3 linked regions of the Saccharomyces cerevisiae S288C genome follow. The gene in region 2 interacts genetically with the main gene of each other region. Each region holds a gene or a part of one and is shown on either strand. Other genes may lie near its edges. The genes, in order: SOM1, TDA3 and TFB5.

The links.
Region 1: mutations in TDA3 (region 2) and SOM1 together harm fitness less than expected from each alone (positive genetic interaction), as found in Saccharomyces cerevisiae (one large-scale study listed by BioGRID).
Region 3: mutations in TDA3 (region 2) and TFB5 together harm fitness more than expected from each alone (negative genetic interaction), as found in Saccharomyces cerevisiae (one large-scale study listed by BioGRID).

Annotation. Positions count from the first base shown.
Region 1 is NC_001137.3:39,342-47,260, forward strand, and holds SOM1 (Som1p), read right to left. Parts: upstream 3,284-7,919; coding exon 3,059-3,283; downstream 1-3,058. Other genes in the region: kinesin motor protein CIN8, read right to left, coding at 1-196; PRB1 (proteinase B), read right to left, coding at 705-2,612; HHY1 (Hhy1p), read left to right, coding at 3,311-3,619; phosphoacetylglucosamine mutase PCM1, read left to right, coding at 3,911-5,584; SDD1 (Sdd1p), read right to left, coding at 5,679-6,380; HAT2 (Hat2p), read left to right, coding at 7,827-7,919. UniProt on the Saccharomyces cerevisiae protein: Non-catalytic component of the mitochondrial inner membrane peptidase (IMP) complex. IMP catalyzes the removal of signal peptides required for the targeting of proteins from the mitochondrial matrix, across the inner membrane, into the inter-membrane space.
Region 2 is NC_001140.6:118,128-127,684, reverse strand, and holds TDA3 (Tda3p), read left to right. Parts: upstream 1-2,004; coding exon 2,005-3,576; downstream 3,577-9,557. Other genes in the region: 60S ribosomal protein eL27 RPL27A, read right to left, coding at 193-572, 1,134-1,164; superoxide dismutase SOD2, read left to right, coding at 4,095-4,796; YHR007C-A (uncharacterized protein), read left to right, coding at 4,920-5,135; ERG11 (sterol 14-demethylase), read left to right, coding at 6,002-7,594; STP2 (Stp2p), read right to left, coding at 8,246-9,557. UniProt on the Saccharomyces cerevisiae protein: Putative oxidoreductase that negatively regulates the retrieval of cargo from late endosomes to the Golgi. Regulates YIF1 and KEX2 localization. Required for fast DNA replication.
Region 3 is NC_001136.10:602,955-605,623, forward strand, and holds TFB5 (TFIIH complex subunit TFB5), read right to left. Parts: upstream 858-2,669; coding exon 639-857; downstream 1-638. Other genes in the region: PET100 (Pet100p), read left to right, coding at 110-445; VPS41 (Vps41p), read left to right, coding at 1,054-2,669. UniProt on the Saccharomyces cerevisiae protein: Component of the general transcription and DNA repair factor IIH (TFIIH) core complex, which is involved in general and transcription-coupled nucleotide excision repair (NER) of damaged DNA and, when complexed to TFIIK, in RNA transcription by RNA polymerase II.

The sequences.
Region 1 (7,919 bases), on a different chromosome or scaffold from region 2:
CTGTAATATCTGGAACATTTACCACAACGGAGCTTTTCATACTAATTTCCCTTTCATTCCTTCCTCTGCATCGCACAGCTACAGTGATGTTCAGTTCCTCATTAGGAACAGTGTGACATCCAACCTGAGAGTTGCCATTTTTACTGATGCTGTTGGAGCTTCTATCTTGACCCGTATTTTGGTTTTCCGCTGGCATCAAACAAATTCTTTCTTGTTGTATTTTTTGCGCTTTTATATACTTTTTATTACTTTTTCCTTTGAATTGCTTGCTTCTGTATCTATACTCAACGTTACTTTCTGGCCATACCATAAGTTCTACACCCGCTGTTGAGAAGCGGGTCACAAAGGAAGTCTTTAGATGATGTTATTGTTGCGGCCTTGTTTGTTTGTTTTGTTTATTTCGCGTACCTAATACATCGTCACCACACACGAAAACGAAAACATTTGATCAGATAAGTGATCTGCAAATAAGATATAATAAAAGTAACAGTTATTTATTTAATTAAAAACGCAAATATGTAGTAATACGTGGGACATATAAATTTCATGAATTAAAAAAAAAAAATGAAATTCAGATTGAAAATAATGGGGATATAAAAAAAGTGGACAAACGATAGTGAAGAGGGACTCCGACTTGTAACCTCGAGACGCCTAAGGAAAGAAAAAGAAAAAAAAAAGCAGCTGAAATTTTTCTAAATGAAGAATTAAATAATATTCAATTTATCAAGAATATCTCTCACTTGATCAAAGATTAAATCGGTCTTTGATCCAATGAATTCATCCATGTTCAATTCTTGCTTGAAACCAGATGAATGGGACTTTTTGGTATCATTCCAGAAAGCGGACAAATCTTGACCACCACCGTTGTAGATTAAAACATTTGGAGTGTCTTCAGGGATATCGAACAAAATGTCCTTTGTACTGTAATGAATTAGCTTCTTTTTCAATTGCTGAGGAGTCAAAGAATCCTGGCCCAATTCGAAAAATTCACTATCAGAACCTGGTTGCAAAGACAAAAAGTAGGTCAACAAACCAGCAACGTGAGGGGAAGCCATTGAGGTACCCGATAAAGTGGCGGTGGCGTCATCACTTCCAATGTAGGTGGACAAAATGTTTAAACCTGGGGCGAAAACGTCGACACACTTACCCCAGTTGGAAAAGTAGGCTCTGTCATCGCTCAACGTGGAAGCTCCGACGGTGATGGCCTTGTCAGCAGAAGCTGGGGAGGTATTACAAGCGTCTTGGTTTTCGTTACCAGCAGCCACGGCAAAGTGAATACCGACTTCAACGGCTGCATTAACAGCCAAGTCCAAAGCTGGGGACTTGCCACCACCAAGCGACATATTGGCTGTGGAACCTTTGAACCCCTTTTTCTTTTCTTGGGCTTCTTTTTGGTGCGCCTTTGCGGCATATTCGACACCTTTGACGACATCAGACATGGTACCAGACCCGTTTGATCTCAAGACTTTCACCGCAACAACGTTGGCATTTTTAGCGACACCGTAGTGTTTGGAAGCGATAGTACCGGCACAGTGGGTACCGTGGCCGTTACCGTCGAGATCTTCGTCGTTAAGTGGGATGGTTTTCCCCCAAATGGCTCTCTTTTCGAAGTCCTTGTGGTTGATGTTGACACCCGTGTCAATAACATAGGACGTGACACCGCGACCGGCATCATCATCGTAGAGATACTTGTTGAAGGACCCCAGGTTGAGGCGCTCTCTGTGGGAAATACGGGCCAACCCCCATGGGGCGCTATTTTGAGTGTCAAATTCTGTAGCCTCGACAATAGAGTCTCTCTCAACAAAGTCTACTAATGGGTTTTGACGTATCAAGTCGACAATCTCTTGGGTGAAGTAACCGATGTAACCGGAGAAAAGATTATCGATGTTGAATGAGTCCTGGATACCGCCAGCCTCAGAGGTGGACAAGGAGGTGTCTTTAGTAGAAATGAAGAAAGCGTCTTCGGCAGATAAGTTCTCTACGGATTGAAGTTGTGCCTGCTGGACGTTTTCCTTGTGGAAATCGATCTCTTCTTGAGGGGCACCTCTCTTGAAGACTATAATGTAGCGGTTGGGGATGATCTTGGAGATCGCGTCTGGGTTGAATTGTGCAGTGGACACGAGAGGAGCCAGCCTGTTGTGGTGCCTCCCTTTCTCCAACGTCTTTTCGTGGTGCTTCTTGCCCTTGACTTTCTTACCTTTCATCTTCTTCTCCTCCACCTTATTTTCGTGGCAGCCACCCTTATGGTGAGGCTTCTTCTTCTTATCATCATTATCATCATCATTGGAACTTTCATGCTTAGGCTTCATGCCCTTTCCTCCCTCGTGGGCGCTCCCATGAGAGCCACTTGCACGTTTACCGTTGAATTCCGGAGACTCCTTGTCTTGGCCCTTGCGGCCCTTCTTATGGAACTTTCCATGTTCTTTATCTTCAGAGTCAGATGGCTCCTCATCATCGTCCTTAGTGAATTCCACTTTTCTGGGTCTCTCGTGGTGATCTTCCTTGTTAATCAGTTCGTGGTGGTCGGCGGCATTTTCAAGATTTGGGATGACCAAAGCAGCAGAGATGCTCCCTAGGGCACCGAGTGTAAATAGAGTATTTTCTAACTTCATCTTTGCTTGTTAGAATTAGGTTTAGTTTGTTTTTTTATTGGCGATGAAGCTAATTGGACTCTTAAGTTTGTATGGGAAGAACTCCAATATAACGGGACGTAACATTGGCCCCCTTTTATATTCATCGCGCTCTTTATCGCGGGTGTGTTTGCCCCCGCCACTCCCGCAGTCCTGGCGTGATAAGCCACTGCAGTGGCATTACTGAGCCCAAATTTTGCTTTTTCAACAAGTCACCTAAATTTCCAAAGCCGAAAGCCCTGCTACTCTGCTAACCCGGAGCGTTTAAAGTCCACGGACATTTCCCAGCCCTCGTTTTTTCTCCTCCCGGGACCCCGGGCATAAGTGCATAGTAGGCACAGACCTGATCTGTCGGGTGCAGTTTAAAAAAGTCTTGGCAAAATTTTTTATTTATCACACTACTGTGCTATATAGAGTATATGTAATTTTTAACTATTGGTATATGTGTCCGTGACCTCGTAGTTAGTGGCTGATTTGTCGGGTGCAATGCAGTGTTCAAAAAGCCTCTTAAAAGGCGAGCAGACGTATTCGGCTCCTTTGAATTGGCACTCCCATTGCACAAGCTCTTTCAGCCGGCAGTTGGTTTGTGAGTCAAGCGTTGCTAACGGTGCGAGCGCTTGGTCCCTAGTGCGGATGGTGGTTGGAGGCGCCATGAGGGTTGATTGTCTTATCTGCGATAGATGAGTCTTTCTTTCCTTCTCTTTTCCCCTTTTCTCCCCCCCTGTTTCTCGTCCATCTCTATCTGTCTATCTGTCTTATCTACTGTTAGTTTTTTTTTCGCTTTCACGATACCGCATTACGTACTGCGCTGCGGAAGTGTGGATGAGTGGCATATACACTCTTCTGCAGAGGATTTTCGTACACAACGGTGTGTGTGTGCTGTGAAGCTGTCTGCTTCCTTACTTGGCTGTTTGCTTGCTTGTGCGTCATGGTCACTTTTGTTAGAAGTGAGCCGCATAAAATGGCATGTCGGCACAGCCTACAGTTAAAAATTAAGCATATCTGACTGTTTATCTGTTTATCTGTTTATACACGGTGAACTGTCACGAGAACCCTTACTTGCACGATTAGCAGATTGTTCAGAGAGCCTCGCTCGTTGAAGTTCTTCTATATGCCAGCGTGTTTCATGTAGCAGGAAACGTTGCTCTATTTATATCTTTTCTGACATTTTGCGTCGTCGGGAAAAAAAAGATTAAGTAAGAACAAAAAACCGTTAATGGTTTCAGCAATCGAGACAAGTACAAGGACCAAGGCAAAGGTCAGCAGTAAGCTTAGAGACGATGAAGGTTGATTACGAGCAATTGTGCAAACTCTACGATGACACGTGCCGCACAAAGAATGTGCAGTTCAGTTACGGTACGGCCGGATTCAGAACGCTGGCCAAGAATTTGGATACGGTGATGTTCAGTACTGGTATACTGGCGGTTCTCAGGTCGCTGAAGCTTCAGGGTCAGTATGTGGGGGTGATGATCACGGCGTCGCACAACCCATACCAGGACAACGGGGTCAAGATCGTGGAACCAGACGGATCGATGCTTTTGGCCACATGGGAGCCATATGCCATGCAGTTGGCCAATGCGGCCTCTTTTGCCACTAATTTTGAAGAATTTCGTGTTGAGTTGGCCAAGCTGATTGAACACGAAAAGATTGATTTGAATACAACCGTCGTGCCTCACATCGTGGTTGGGAGAGACTCTAGGGAAAGTAGTCCATACTTGCTGCGCTGCTTGACTTCCTCCATGGCCAGCGTCTTCCACGCGCAAGTTTTGGACCTAGGCTGTGTCACTACGCCTCAATTGCATTACATTACTGATTTGTCCAACAGGCGGAAACTGGAAGGAGACACAGCGCCAGTTGCCACAGAACAGGACTACTATTCGTTCTTTATAGGAGCCTTCAACGAGCTCTTCGCCACGTATCAGCTGGAGAAGAGGCTGTCTGTCCCAAAATTGTTCATAGACACAGCCAATGGTATCGGTGGTCCACAGTTGAAAAAACTACTGGCCTCCGAAGATTGGGACGTGCCAGCGGAGCAAGTTGAGGTAATCAACGACAGGTCCGATGTTCCAGAACTGTTGAATTTTGAATGCGGTGCGGATTATGTGAAGACTAACCAGAGATTACCCAAGGGTCTTTCTCCATCCTCGTTTGATTCGCTATATTGCTCCTTTGATGGTGACGCAGACAGGGTTGTGTTCTACTATGTCGACTCAGGATCAAAATTTCATTTGTTGGATGGTGACAAAATTTCCACTTTGTTTGCAAAGTTCTTGTCTAAACAACTAGAATTGGCACACCTAGAACATTCTTTGAAGATTGGTGTTGTGCAAACTGCCTATGCAAACGGCAGTTCCACCGCTTACATAAAAAATACGTTGCACTGTCCCGTGTCTTGCACTAAGACAGGTGTTAAACACTTGCATCATGAAGCTGCCACTCAGTACGATATTGGCATTTATTTCGAAGCAAATGGACATGGTACGATTATATTCAGCGAAAAATTTCATCGAACTATCAAATCTGAATTATCCAAGTCCAAGTTAAATGGTGATACGTTAGCTTTGAGAACTTTGAAGTGTTTCTCTGAATTGATTAATCAGACCGTGGGAGATGCTATTTCAGACATGCTTGCTGTCCTTGCTACTTTGGCGATTTTGAAAATGTCGCCAATGGATTGGGATGAAGAGTATACTGATTTGCCCAACAAGCTGGTTAAGTGCATCGTTCCTGATAGGTCAATTTTCCAAACCACGGACCAGGAAAGAAAATTGCTCAATCCAGTGGGGTTGCAAGACAAGATAGATCTTGTGGTAGCCAAGTATCCCATGGGAAGAAGCTTTGTCAGAGCCAGTGGTACGGAGGATGCGGTGAGGGTTTATGCGGAATGTAAGGACTCCTCTAAGTTAGGTCAATTTTGTGACGAAGTGGTGGAGCACGTTAAGGCATCTGCTTGAAAGCATTATTCGATGTATAGTATAGCTATTTAGATATACAGAGAGATAAATGAAAGAGAAAAAATATTGGTATCAATCAACGTTTGTTACAGGCTTAGACTTTGGTTTGGTAATTGAAATTCATGGTAGTGGAAATAAACAAAATTTTCCTCTTCAATTTTTTTCGTCGTTTCGCTCTGCAATCGAAAATCAAATAATCTTCATAAAAGAAATCACTTTCAATAAATGAACTTCTCACTACCATAATGGATGATGTGGCCGATTCGAAAGCAATACGGTTGATTAACACGGAAACCCCGAGTGATAAGTCACCAAAAAAAATTCTCTTTACGATGAATGTTCCGAATTTGTTCTCCTCTTTACAGTTTTCGTTGGAAAGGTATTTATATGTAATTTCCTTCAGAATTCTCTTGTTTTCTATGTTGGCATTGTCGAGATGAACCTGTTTCAGTATGGCATTGGGAAAAAGTGTAGCTTGTAACTTTAAAACTTGATCATGCAGTGTTGCAGCTAAATTATCCAGAGTAAAAATTTCCTCTTTGGAGTAAATGCCTAGCAAGTTTTTCAGCTGACTACTCCAACCTCGCCTGGCCCTGTGCTTTCTACTTACACAATCTTTGTGATTTGGTGGTAAGGTTTTTGGAAAATGAGGAAGAGTATCTAGTTGTTGGGTAATGTTTCTTTCCAAGAATGATATTTTTTTCATTATGACGTCAATTTCTTTAGAATAAGCCGAGAACTGTACAGTTTTAAAACCCTTTCTGTTGTCATTCCTCTGAATCCCATCATTTGCCATTTAATTTTCAATTTAGTTACTAGTCAATTTTCTTTTTCGCCTTTTGTATTCCATAATATGAATATAAGCTTGGGCTTGCCGATTTTCTCCGCTTAATATTAAGCCTACGCATGATGTAGGTTACATTTTGAAGGGTTTCTTTTAACTTCCTTACTTATTTATATATGTATGAACCTACACAAGGCATTTTACCCTTATTTCTTCCCGCAACATTTGATAAAAAGTGGAAGACGTTTGTGATTGTTATTATCGCCCCAATTTTCTCCTTTTTTTCTTTTCCTTCAACGTCAATCAATTGCACATTCAGCCGATTGGCTTTCTTAGCGCAGGATAGGGTGTCGGGGATACCTGTGGGAAGTTAGTGACACTTTTTTTTCCACTCTCTTCATGGAATCCCCGGACGGCAGCCGCCCGTCCCAATTTTGGCAAAATTGACATCCTAACTGCACGAATTCTCATCGCGTATCAGAACTCTTGAGCCTTCAGTTTTACTACTCAATGCTCTGATTTATCTATATATACATAAATGAAAATAATACGTGCGCATTTATAAGACAAAAAGTTAGAATTCTGACCACGATTGCATGCTGTAGATAATTGTCGTGTTCATTCTCTCTTTAACGGCGCCTCAAGAAGAATATAAAATAATTGCTCTTGCAGTCTCAATGAGTCGGTATGTTCAAAGTGGTGCCCAACATTTACTAATATTGGACTGCGGTACAAAATCGGCGGCTAAACTGTCTACCGATAAAATACTCTTGATTTATAAGAATGAAAAAGAAAACAAAAAGGGATGACCCCTGAAAAAGTTTGTTTTCTTTACCCTTTTTTATGTTAAATTTTACATTTATTACCGTTTACGTCAATCGCAATATACAGGTGGGGCATTGTTATTTGATTTCATAATCTGGTGAGAACGTTATCACGCGGATTATTTAGTTTTTTTAAACCATGTGCGAAGAAATTCTCATATATTGTAGGCATTTCTGACTCAAACTTCTGCTGCTTAAAATAGCTGTTTTCACCTTTTTTTTCCTCTTGTTCTATTTGACATGCTCCCTTTCTTCCTCGGTCCTTTCAACCATTTCCATGCTCCTGTAGGCTCAGGAGCAGAGCGAGGAAAAAACTTCCCTACAGAAAGCTTTCATGTTTTTAACCGGTTTCCTTTCAGCTTTTTCTTTTGGAGTAATCTAGAAAGATTAGGTCATTTGTTCAGTCTATTTGATACTTGATGAGTAGCTCGTCTGTTCTGTTCAAAATAACAATTTGTGAGGTGTACGGATGTTTTCACTGGCATTCGTCGACATGACAAAGACAAACCTTGAAAATAATAATGGAGAATAACTAGAAAGACGTTACTATGCCTCTAATACTTCTGCCTCTCTTATCTCTCCTATCAATTGTGGTTAGCCTAGTAGTCACCAAATAGCAAATTACCAATCAACTATGGAAAACCAAGAGAAACCGCTTTCTGTAGACGAGGAGTACGATTTATGGAAATCCAATGTTCCATTAATGTATGACTTTGTTAGCGAGACA
Region 2 (9,557 bases):
GCGTTATGATTCGTTTTGTCGTTAAGGTTGAAAACACCAGCAAACAATTTTTTTGAAGAAAAACCCCATTTGCGTATACTTATATGTAGATATATTTTATTAATATTTAATCATTGTTTACATACATTAAATATACATATGTTGATATTACTAATAATTTTTTGATTTTTGGTTGACCATAATGCAATTCTCTTAAAATCTCAACTTAGAGAAGAACCATTGGTTCTTACCAGCTTGGTGTCTTTCTTCGAAAGCCTTCTTGACGACTTTCTTAGCTTCTTCACGTTGGGAAGGTTGTTCGAAAGTTTCAGTAGAAACAACGGATTTGAAAGCTTCAACATCTAAAGTGTATCTGGTTGGCAATAAATGGTTGTAGTTGACGACCTTGATGAAAGGCTTGATCTTGGTTCTCTTAGCAACCTTCTTGGCACCGTGCTTCTTGGTGACCTTCAATGGGTATCTTTCAATACCGGCAACCAAAGCGTGACCAAATGGGTGAGACTTGGAACCTTCATCATGTGGTTTAACGATAACAACCTTCTTACCGGCGTAACGACCACGGACAACGACAGCTGTGTAAAAAAAGGAAGGAAAAGAAATAGTTAGTAAATGTGAACCCTTCTTAAAGTTTGGCGAATTCTCAATTTTGTTCTTCAATACTAGGGAGAGAAAAATTATCATAGGCCCACGAATTTTTAATAGGGCATGGAAAGAACTACAGTAAATAAAAGGCCCTGGTCGCCTGCGTACATGTGCCTATGGTCTTAGCAAATATATCGCGGAACTTTCACCATCTTATTTGGTGGCTATTGATGCTTTTTTCTTTTAAATTACAACTTTTTGATAACCCTTCCACTGCCTCGTATAGCTCAATGAATATGAATAATCGTTAGTTTCGCTCCTAAATCATTCATCTTTTTGTCCAATATTTCTATTAATAAGCTATCATTCAAATTTAAAGGTTTTTTCCCAGATCTAACATCTCCACGCTTTTTCCTCCCTACTCCCATATGAAGATACAATACTCGAATTCAAACTCAAATTATACAACATCAACTGCTAATAACTTGGATTTCTAATACCACAGTTGCACGGTTTTTTGTTGATGTCCAAAAACTGAAAATGATACGTACCAACTTTACCAGCTTTCAAGAACTTAGCCATTTTTTTCTTTGGTTATGCTTTTGTTTTAACACGTTGAGACTATCTAAGAAATTCTAAAAATCTAATATATCTTTAATTTTAGCTCAAAACTACGGCAGTATGTTTTACATGAACGAACACTTTACTAGTGAAAAGAATTTCAGGAAACCTGCCTTCGGGCGAATCTCTGCAGCAAGAGCGTAGGCGGAGCTCTGCTGGAAAGACTTTGTCTCAGACAGTTCTGTCGTGATGGGAGAACTGAGCGGATCACTCCCATTAGTTTGAGAGGAACTTCTCTCCGCAGCCTTGATTCTGCCTCGGGACTCCACCTGGAATATTGTTATCGGCTCTTTCAAGAAATACAGGACTCATAAGGTGAAAAAAAAAAAAACAGTGTAGGTGCAACAGCAAAAAATGTAAAGATGTAGGTGTACGGATGCATTAACGTCTTTCGAGGCCCTTTCCATTCTTCCGTGAAAAATATTCACTGAACGTATAATATGAGACGGTTCCGTCCGAGTCCCCTTAGCTGGAATCGTGTAAGCCAATTTATCAATACATGCAGCCTTGGTGCTTTTGTGCGTCTATCCCCTACATGCATAAGATTACGTATGAATGAAAAAAGCACGACATAGAAGTGAAACCATATCTGTAACCTGGCACACGTACTACAAAAGTTATATTGTTCCTTTTTTTTTTTTTTTTTTTTCTATTGTTAAATCAAGACTTAAAAAAAATCAGCCAACAAGTAATTCTGTTTGATAGTTCAAGTCACTCAGCAAAAGATTTTCGTGCTCTCCAATACACCATCTAAGTATCAATAGCATTTTAACCAAGCAACAGAAGGAATAGTGTTTATAAATGGGTGAAGATTTTATGCACCCACCGTTTCAAACGTACCCTTCAAAGAACAGCGAAGGGAAAAAACATATTGTCATTGTAGGTGGCGGTATCATCGGTTGCTGTACTGCTTACTACTTGACCCAGCATCCAAGTTTCAGCCCTTCGACGCATCATATTACCATCATTGAATCGAGGCGCATTGCTGGAGGGGCTTCTGGTAAAGCAGGTGGCTTGCTTGCATCTTGGGCTTTCCCTCACCAAATCGTACCTTTAAGTTTCCAGCTACATCAGGAGTTGAGTGATGAATATGATGGAGAAAACAACTGGGACTACAGAAGATTGACGACTGTGTCCTTAGAAGCAGATGTTCGCGAAGAAGTCATTGAAAACTACGAAAGACTGAGCAAGAAGGCATATAATCTGAATGTCCCTCCTCCAAAGAAGAGACCGGGCTACATATCCAACAAGTTTAACATCGGGGACTCTAATTCATCTTTGAGTTCTTCGGGCTCTTCTTTGAAAAACGACTCCGCTAGTAACGAGGAAGAAGGATCAGACATTCATGTTTCTAGCTCAGTACCCAGTTTACACTCTCTAACAAATGAGCGCATGAGAAGCCACACAAATAGCGCATCTGATCTTGACTCTGTAAGTCCCGTGGAGCAACTGAGAGAGACTAATATCCATAATCCTTTGCCTGCTGATTTAGATTGGATAAGAAGAGAATTGGTTAATGATTGGTCATCACTAGGTGGTACTGATACCACAGCGCAGCTTCATCCCTATAAATTCACCCATTTCATCTTATCGAAGGCAATGGAAACAGGTGCTGTCGATCTTCTCCTAGGTAAGGTAGTTGGGCTAAAGTGTGACGAGATGGATTGTGTTCATTCTCTTAAGTACCTTCCATCTGTCGTCAAGAATCGCAGAAATAGCAGAGGGCATGCAGAAAATCCAGACATTAAGCTGGGTACAATCTTCAACGATGAGAACGCGAAGCCCATTGAAATCAATGACATCCAGCAGATTGTTTTGAGTATGGGACCCTGGACTTCCAAGATTCTAAAAGATTGTCCAATTTCTGGATTGAGAGCCCACTCTGTCACCATTAAGCCTAGTGAAAAGACAGTTTCACCTTACGCTATTCTTGCTGAACTAAAAGTTAACGACCGTGAATTTTTCTCCCCTGAAATGTATGCTAGAAAAGATGAAGTTTATGTGTGCGGCGAAGGCGACACTTTAGTCAATATACCTGAAAGTTCGGACGATGTGGAGGTAGTTTCGGAGAAGTGTGATGAATTGTACCATTACGTATCCAAATTATCGCCAACTCTATCAAAGGGCCATCTCTTGCGGAAACAAGCCTGTTTTTTGCCAGTTTTAAACGTTCCTACAAGTTCTGGTCCCTTAATTGGTGAGACAAATGTCAAGGATCTTTATATTGCAAGTGGACATTCTTGTTGGGGTATTAACAATGCGCCAGCAACAGGTAAATTAATGGCTGAGATTCTCCTTGATGGCGAAGCAACCTCTGCGGAAATCTCAAGTTTGGATCCAAAGTTATATTTCGACGCCACCATCCTTTCTTAATCAAGCCGAGGAGTAAAAAGGTCAAGAAAAGTATATGCACAAATTTGTACATATAAGAGCTTATTTATTTATATATTTAAAATTTCTGAGGCCATTTAATGTGTATATATTTAACGAATACCTAAATCTATATATTTCTTTTTTTTTTTTCTCTCTCTCTCTCTCTTTCTCTTTCTCTCTTGGCGTCTATCCTGTTTGCCCTTGCGCATGCTACCGATTGCACGTGTAGTATTCTACTTGAGGTTGAGCTGATTACTAATTGCTATTATCATTGTTGGCGCGACCTTAAACCTGGACCAATAACACAGGCCGAACCACTAGCTTCGCAAAAAAAAAAGTAGGGATGTGCCGAAAAATTTCCGCGACCGTAGCAGACACCCCTGATGAAGAAGCTATAACTTGTATATAAGAGCGTTGCATCCCCAAAATATACAAGCTAGCTACAGCGATTGCTTTTCACTTGCTGCTACAGGAACGAAACCCCAATTGATAACTATACCTCCTAAAAACGTACCAGGATGTTCGCGAAAACAGCAGCTGCTAATTTAACCAAGAAGGGTGGTTTGTCATTGCTCTCCACCACAGCAAGGAGAACCAAAGTCACCTTGCCAGACTTGAAGTGGGACTTCGGTGCATTGGAACCTTATATCTCCGGTCAAATCAACGAATTGCATTACACCAAGCACCATCAAACTTATGTGAACGGATTCAACACTGCTGTTGACCAATTCCAAGAACTCTCAGATCTTCTGGCCAAGGAGCCCTCTCCCGCAAACGCAAGAAAAATGATTGCTATCCAACAAAACATCAAGTTCCATGGCGGTGGTTTCACAAACCACTGTCTATTCTGGGAAAACCTGGCTCCAGAGTCGCAGGGCGGTGGTGAACCACCCACCGGCGCTTTGGCAAAGGCAATCGACGAGCAGTTTGGCAGTCTGGACGAGCTGATTAAGTTGACCAACACAAAGCTAGCAGGCGTGCAGGGCTCCGGATGGGCCTTCATTGTGAAAAACCTCTCTAATGGAGGCAAGCTGGACGTTGTTCAAACCTACAACCAGGATACCGTCACAGGCCCACTAGTTCCTCTAGTTGCCATTGACGCCTGGGAACACGCCTACTACTTGCAGTACCAAAACAAGAAAGCCGACTACTTCAAAGCCATTTGGAATGTGGTCAACTGGAAAGAAGCATCCAGAAGATTCGATGCTGGCAAGATCTGAAGAAAGAAAGAAAGAAAATACCTTTTTTTTTCCACTGTGTCGTTTTTATTCTAACTACTCTACTAAATCACACAACCACACTCCCCTATTTAATAATATATTTTACTATTAAAATACATATACATGCATCGTAAAAAAAGAAAAAAAGAAAAGAAAAGAACCGAAAAAGACAATACAACCAACCTTCCTCCACTTTTTCTTTTTCCTTGTTCTCTCTCGCTTCCTACGTTACTCGCGCCTGTGCACTACATTCCCACCAGATTAACTCACCACCAGGCAGAGAACCAATTGTTCTTGTTATTGTTCCAACCGATAATTGTAAAGCCATTAAGGTCGTAAACGACTGCTTACTCAGGGAGATCTCCGAAAACGGCAATTGCTGTGCACCGTGCGACGTTATGATCGCCGCCTGTCCCGTACAGACGAACAATTGCAACAATGGGCGGTTGTTTAGAGAGGTTTTGTGCCGCGCCCGGGAATTACCGGGGGCACAGCAAAATACGAAATTTCCGGCAAAATGTCTCTGTACGAAAATGAGGCCAGCCTTTATTCCCGACTAAGCCGTACGATTATAGTAATGTCACACGAAGTGGATACTATACGAGCAGCGCACATACAATGTGCGTGCAAGATTTGCCGGGTTGGACAATCTTAAAGGCCGATAATCCACGAAAAACGAGACAAACGAAGCGCTGGCCCTAAACGAAACGAAACGAAACTAAGATTTCAAGATAATCGCTTTTCAGATGACAATAGTCTCTTGCAGAACACAATAAGTGTGGTAGGTATCTTGCAGGAGACATCGATTTTATGCCTGAATTTTTTTTTTTTCTTGGTATGAGCACATCCTATTGTGCATCTCCACGAGTTAACGACGTTTACGTACTCGCATGTATTCGAAAAGCCTCTAAAAATTGCCCTCCATGTGTATTCATTATATAAGATAGCGTATTTTCCCTTAGTTTTCTTATTCCCTCTTAATTCTCTCTTTCAATGTCTTTTTTTTTTTCCCTTTTCCTTTTTCCCTTTTCGTTATTGGTAAATTATTTATAAAAAGATTGATAAGCAGTATCGTTCAGCGTGTGTATTTTCGATAGGAAGTAATAATTTTTCATTATATTAATTAATAGTTTCCAGAAAAAATTTTTTTTCCTTCACAATTGCAGCAGGCTTGAATAGAAACAGAACAAACGAGTAATACAAGGATGTCTGCTACCAAGTCAATCGTTGGAGAGGCATTGGAATACGTAAACATTGGTTTAAGTCATTTCTTGGCTTTACCATTGGCCCAAAGAATCTCTTTGATCATAATAATTCCTTTCATTTACAATATTGTATGGCAATTACTATATTCTTTGAGAAAGGACCGTCCACCTCTAGTGTTTTACTGGATTCCATGGGTCGGTAGTGCTGTTGTGTACGGTATGAAGCCATACGAGTTTTTCGAAGAATGTCAAAAGAAATACGGTGATATTTTTTCATTCGTTTTGTTAGGAAGAGTCATGACTGTGTATTTAGGACCAAAGGGTCACGAATTTGTCTTCAACGCTAAGTTGGCAGATGTTTCAGCAGAAGCTGCTTACGCTCATTTGACTACTCCAGTTTTCGGTAAAGGTGTTATTTACGATTGTCCAAATTCTAGATTGATGGAGCAAAAGAAGTTTGTTAAGGGTGCTCTAACCAAAGAAGCCTTCAAGAGCTACGTTCCATTGATTGCTGAAGAAGTGTACAAGTACTTCAGAGACTCCAAAAACTTCCGTTTGAATGAAAGAACTACTGGTACTATTGACGTGATGGTTACTCAACCTGAAATGACTATTTTCACCGCTTCAAGATCATTATTGGGTAAGGAAATGAGAGCAAAATTGGATACCGATTTTGCTTACTTGTACAGTGATTTGGATAAGGGTTTCACTCCAATCAACTTCGTCTTCCCTAACTTACCATTGGAACACTATAGAAAGAGAGATCACGCTCAAAAGGCTATCTCCGGTACTTACATGTCTTTGATTAAGGAAAGAAGAAAGAACAACGACATTCAAGACAGAGATTTGATCGATTCCTTGATGAAGAACTCTACCTACAAGGATGGTGTGAAGATGACTGATCAAGAAATCGCTAACTTGTTAATTGGTGTCTTAATGGGTGGTCAACATACTTCTGCTGCCACTTCTGCTTGGATTTTGTTGCACTTGGCTGAAAGACCAGATGTCCAACAAGAATTGTACGAAGAACAAATGCGTGTTTTGGATGGTGGTAAGAAGGAATTGACCTACGATTTATTACAAGAAATGCCATTGTTGAACCAAACTATTAAGGAAACTCTAAGAATGCACCATCCATTGCACTCTTTGTTCCGTAAGGTTATGAAAGATATGCACGTTCCAAACACTTCTTATGTCATCCCAGCAGGTTATCACGTTTTGGTTTCTCCAGGTTACACTCATTTAAGAGACGAATACTTCCCTAATGCTCACCAATTCAACATTCACCGTTGGAACAAAGATTCTGCCTCCTCTTATTCCGTCGGTGAAGAAGTCGATTACGGTTTCGGTGCCATTTCTAAGGGTGTCAGCTCTCCATACTTACCTTTCGGTGGTGGTAGACACAGATGTATCGGTGAACACTTTGCTTACTGTCAGCTAGGTGTTCTAATGTCCATTTTTATCAGAACATTAAAATGGCATTACCCAGAGGGTAAGACCGTTCCACCTCCTGACTTTACATCTATGGTTACTCTTCCAACCGGTCCAGCCAAGATCATCTGGGAAAAGAGAAATCCAGAACAAAAGATCTAAGGTTTGTAACTGAGAAAAAAAAAAAAAACAGAAAAAGAGAGAAGTTGTACATTCACGTGGGCCTTATCGCCACACTCATCCATCTCCAATGATTTATTTTATTTGCCAGTACGTTTGATATGACATCGAGTTATGTTCTTTAGTTACTTTCAAACTTGGACAACCATCCCGCATTATTTATGAGTGGTATGGTTTCACTTCTTTATTTATAAATATTTATACTACGAAATTATATATAGATTACATTTCTAAAACAACATCAAATATAAGGTTTATTTATGCAACATGCCTACTGGATTAGAAGAGAGAACACACAGCTCACAGGCCAAGCGGAAATAAAGCAGTCTTTTCGCAAACTTGTAAATCTTTTTGCAATTTAAATTAATCAAGAGAGGGCCCAGGAGGAGAGGAGTTTTGGGGAGGGGTCACTGAGGAAGCTCTCTTAAATATGGATTCACTGAAATAAATGTATATAAGATTCATTACTGCTTTTTATAGTGATAAATCCAAATGATGAGTGAATTGAACCATCCTTAGTATCCATTGTTTTATAAAGCACCGCTAAAAATAATATATTGCTACAAAAATGATATAATAATAATATTACGTAAAATACCTGAAACCGCCATAAAAATAATACCTGAATTAACCTTAAAATTCTATCCCATAAGCTTTTTTGTAAAGGGCCAGATAATCTTGAGTCTCCTTCAAATGATTCTCACCCAGAAGTTCAAAGTCCATTTGCTTCTGTAACATCTCATTAATGGAAATCATATTGCTTTCCTTTGACTGATTGATTGCGTCCTCCTCGGTTTTGTCTGGCTCCAACAACGATTGCTCTGAATCCAATGGGTATGACTTATTTGTTTCTGTAGTTGTTATTGGATCGCCTGAAAGTGGAGATAGCGCTGAGGAGGCAGAGGATAATGCTGGAGAATCCATATGCAATGTGTATCTTGATGATTGATACTCTTGTGGTACAGAAGATGCATTTTGGGGTGACAAAATTGGGGGAGATATTATTGACCACTCTTTGAGATTTTGGACTTCTGTAGGTCCTCTTGATTGTGTAGTTTGTGTAGGTCTTGATATTTGTTTGCGTTCAAACCATTGAGTGCCTATTCCAAAATCGTTTTTTTCGGTTTTGGTTGGTATGATCTTGTCATTAGGGCGTTCCTTGGACTGCATTACTGTCGCTTCTATACAATTCTTATTTTGTAAAGCTGGTTCGGAAACACTTTCGTCGGATGAGATGAACCTTGTTTGGCCATCCGAAGTCTTTATCATTTTCATTTTAGACGTCTTTTTCTTCTCTCGTATTCCCTCTGAATAGCCTTCTGGTAAACCTTTGCAACTCCCAGCCTCAATGTGGTTTTCCACCCAGCTCTCACTAGTGCTAAAGTGTTCCCCACATTGAGTGCACACTCCAGGTGATTTATTACGGTCCTGAGGCTTAACACCTTCTGGGTAAGTGAAATGTCTAGATTTCAAATGTGTTTTGTAGGTATCTCTTCTGCTAAACCCCCCAGAAGTATGGCATCGCAATTCTTGCGAAATGCTATTATCAAAAAATGGACAGTGATAGGCCTTCCTTTTCGCATGCTTTTTTATGTGTCGTGTTAAGTAACCTCTGATTCGGAACCTAGCATCGCAATAGTGACATATATATGGTAAAGTTTCGGATGACTCATCAGCAATTCCTTGAACCTCATCGGATAGGGGAGATTCATCAATACTTTTCTTCGATGCAGGAGTGATTACGCTACTTACGGGCGTGATTGGAAGGAAATTAGAGGGGAAAAGAGCTTTGTACTGGTCATTATTGATATAGGATTCCTCTAGCGGGGGAGAACTTATCAAGTCATTCTGTAACTTTGCTGGCTCGCCGCGGCTAGGGCCCCGTAAAATCGGTTCGTCCAAGTTCAACTGTGTAGTGACTGCACCATTATTATCAATTTTAATT
Region 3 (2,669 bases), on a different chromosome or scaffold from region 2:
TTTTTTCCCGTATAATTCCAATATATCAGCGCATCTTGCTGATATTTTCTGTTCTATAACAATTTAATAAGGGCTGACAAACAAAAGTAATCACTTCGACAAGTACAAAATGGGTCTATTTAATAACTTCAAGTTTAAATATACAAGGGCGCAACTGGAGATCTTTAGATTTTCATTTTGTTTGCTAGCACCTGTTGCTGTAATGTACTATATTGGTACAGATACTGATAAAAAATTAAATGTTCCAGGGTTTTGGCCAGATCCTGCAACGTTGAACCAAATACCAAAAGAGCCTTATGAGATTAAAGCTGAACTGGCAAGGATGAAAAAAGAACGTTTAGAGAAAAGGCTTAGGTTGGAGAAAAAGATACAAGAGGAGTTTGGTTTAGACCTTGAGGAGGAAAAAGAAAAAATTAAACGGGATTTGGCTCTCAAAAAAGGATGAGAAAAGAAAACGGTTAAAGATGTATACTTGCACCTGACCACTTTTTCTTCCTTATATTTATTATTCTAACATGTACATACCTGTATAGTCGTATTTCCACTAGATCATCACTTCCCCTCTATATTCATGTCTGACCTGGTTATGCAGGTCATGCTCTATTCAAATAGTATTGAAAAAGCTGAATGAGCAATAATTACTGATTTTCTTCTTCATCCATAGGATTATATATATTCTTAGATAATAGCCTATTTAGCTCATGCTTAACAAATTCGACTTTCGAGGGATTTACTAAAAGATGGGTGTCATCCAACTCCTCTAGTACTATATCACTCATCTTGGCGTCAATTTGTAATATGAGCGCCTTGATGGATGGATCACATTGAACCAGTGCACCCTTTCTTGCTCTAGCCATTTTTTCGTTCTTTTACAAAAGTATCTTGGCTTTGTCTCTATTGGGAGTACACTTCTATCTTACTGCAGTTTGCTCGTCTTTTTTCAATAATACGATACAAAAGAAAAATTAAAAGGGCTATTGAGACTGTTGTAAAATATATATGCAAAATAAAAAAGCATTTTAACGAAGAGTATATACCTACTATTAGACATTAATGACTACAGATAATCATCAGAATGATTCTGTTTTGGATCAACAATCAGGCGAACGAACAATTGATGAGAGTAATTCCATCTCTGACGAGAATAATGTTGATAATAAGAGGGAAGACGTTAATGTAACTTCACCAACAAAAAGTGTTAGTTGCATATCACAAGCGGAAAATGGAGTAGCTTCTCGAACAGATGAGAGTACAATAACAGGAAGTGCGACGGATGCAGAAACAGGTGATGATGATGATGATGATGATGATGACGATGATGAAGATGAGGATGACGAAGATGAGCCCCCCTTATTGAAGTACACACGAATTAGTCAACTCCCGAAGAACTTTTTTCAACGAGACTCGATCTCTTCATGTTTATTTGGTGATACTTTTTTTGCATTTGGTACACACTCAGGCATTCTACACTTAACTACATGCGCGTTCGAACCCATTAAAACCATCAAATGCCATAGATCTTCGATACTTTGTATTAACACTGACGGAAAATATTTTGCTACGGGATCTATTGACGGGACAGTGATTATCGGATCGATGGATGATCCACAAAACATTACACAATACGATTTCAAAAGACCTATAAACTCTGTAGCGTTGCACTCAAATTTTCAAGCATCCAGAATGTTTGTTTCTGGTGGAATGGCTGGCGACGTTGTACTATCTCAGAGAAATTGGCTAGGAAATAGAATCGACATCGTTTTAAACAAGAAGAAAAAGAAAAAAACAAGAAAAGATGACCTATCCTCTGATATGAAGGGCCCTATCATGGGAATTTATACTATGGGTGACCTTATATTATGGATGGATGATGATGGAATAACATTTTGCGATGTTCCTACAAGATCACAGCTTTTGAATATTCCATTCCCCTCCAGAATTTTTAACGTACAGGATGTAAGGCCAGATCTATTTAGACCCCATGTTCATTTTTTAGAAAGTGATCGTGTCGTTATCGGATGGGGATCTAATATTTGGCTATTTAAAGTTTCCTTTACCAAGGATTCAAATTCGATCAAATCCGGTGACTCTAATTCTCAAAGTAATAATATGAGTCATTTTAACCCTACGACAAACATCGGATCTCTCTTGTCTAGTGCTGCATCGAGTTTTAGAGGGACACCTGATAAGAAAGTTGAATTAGAATGCCATTTTACTGTGTCAATGTTGATTACAGGGCTTGCATCGTTTAAGGATGATCAGTTATTATGCCTAGGTTTTGATATAGATATTGAAGAGGAAGCAACCATAGATGAAGATATGAAGGAGGGGAAGAATTTTAGCAAGCGGCCAGAAAACTTATTAGCCAAAGGGAATGCTCCAGAATTAAAAATTGTTGATCTTTTTAATGGTGATGAAATCTATAATGATGAAGTTATCATGAAAAACTATGAAAAATTGTCTATAAATGATTATCACCTCGGTAAACATATAGATAAAACAACACCAGAATACTATTTGATAAGTTCCAACGATGCCATCAGGGTTCAAGAGTTATCATTGAAGGATCATTTCGATTGGTTTATGGAAAGAAAGCAATATTATAAAGCTTGGAAAATCGGTAAATATGTAATTGGATCAGAAGAGAGGTTTAGTATAGGGTTGAAATT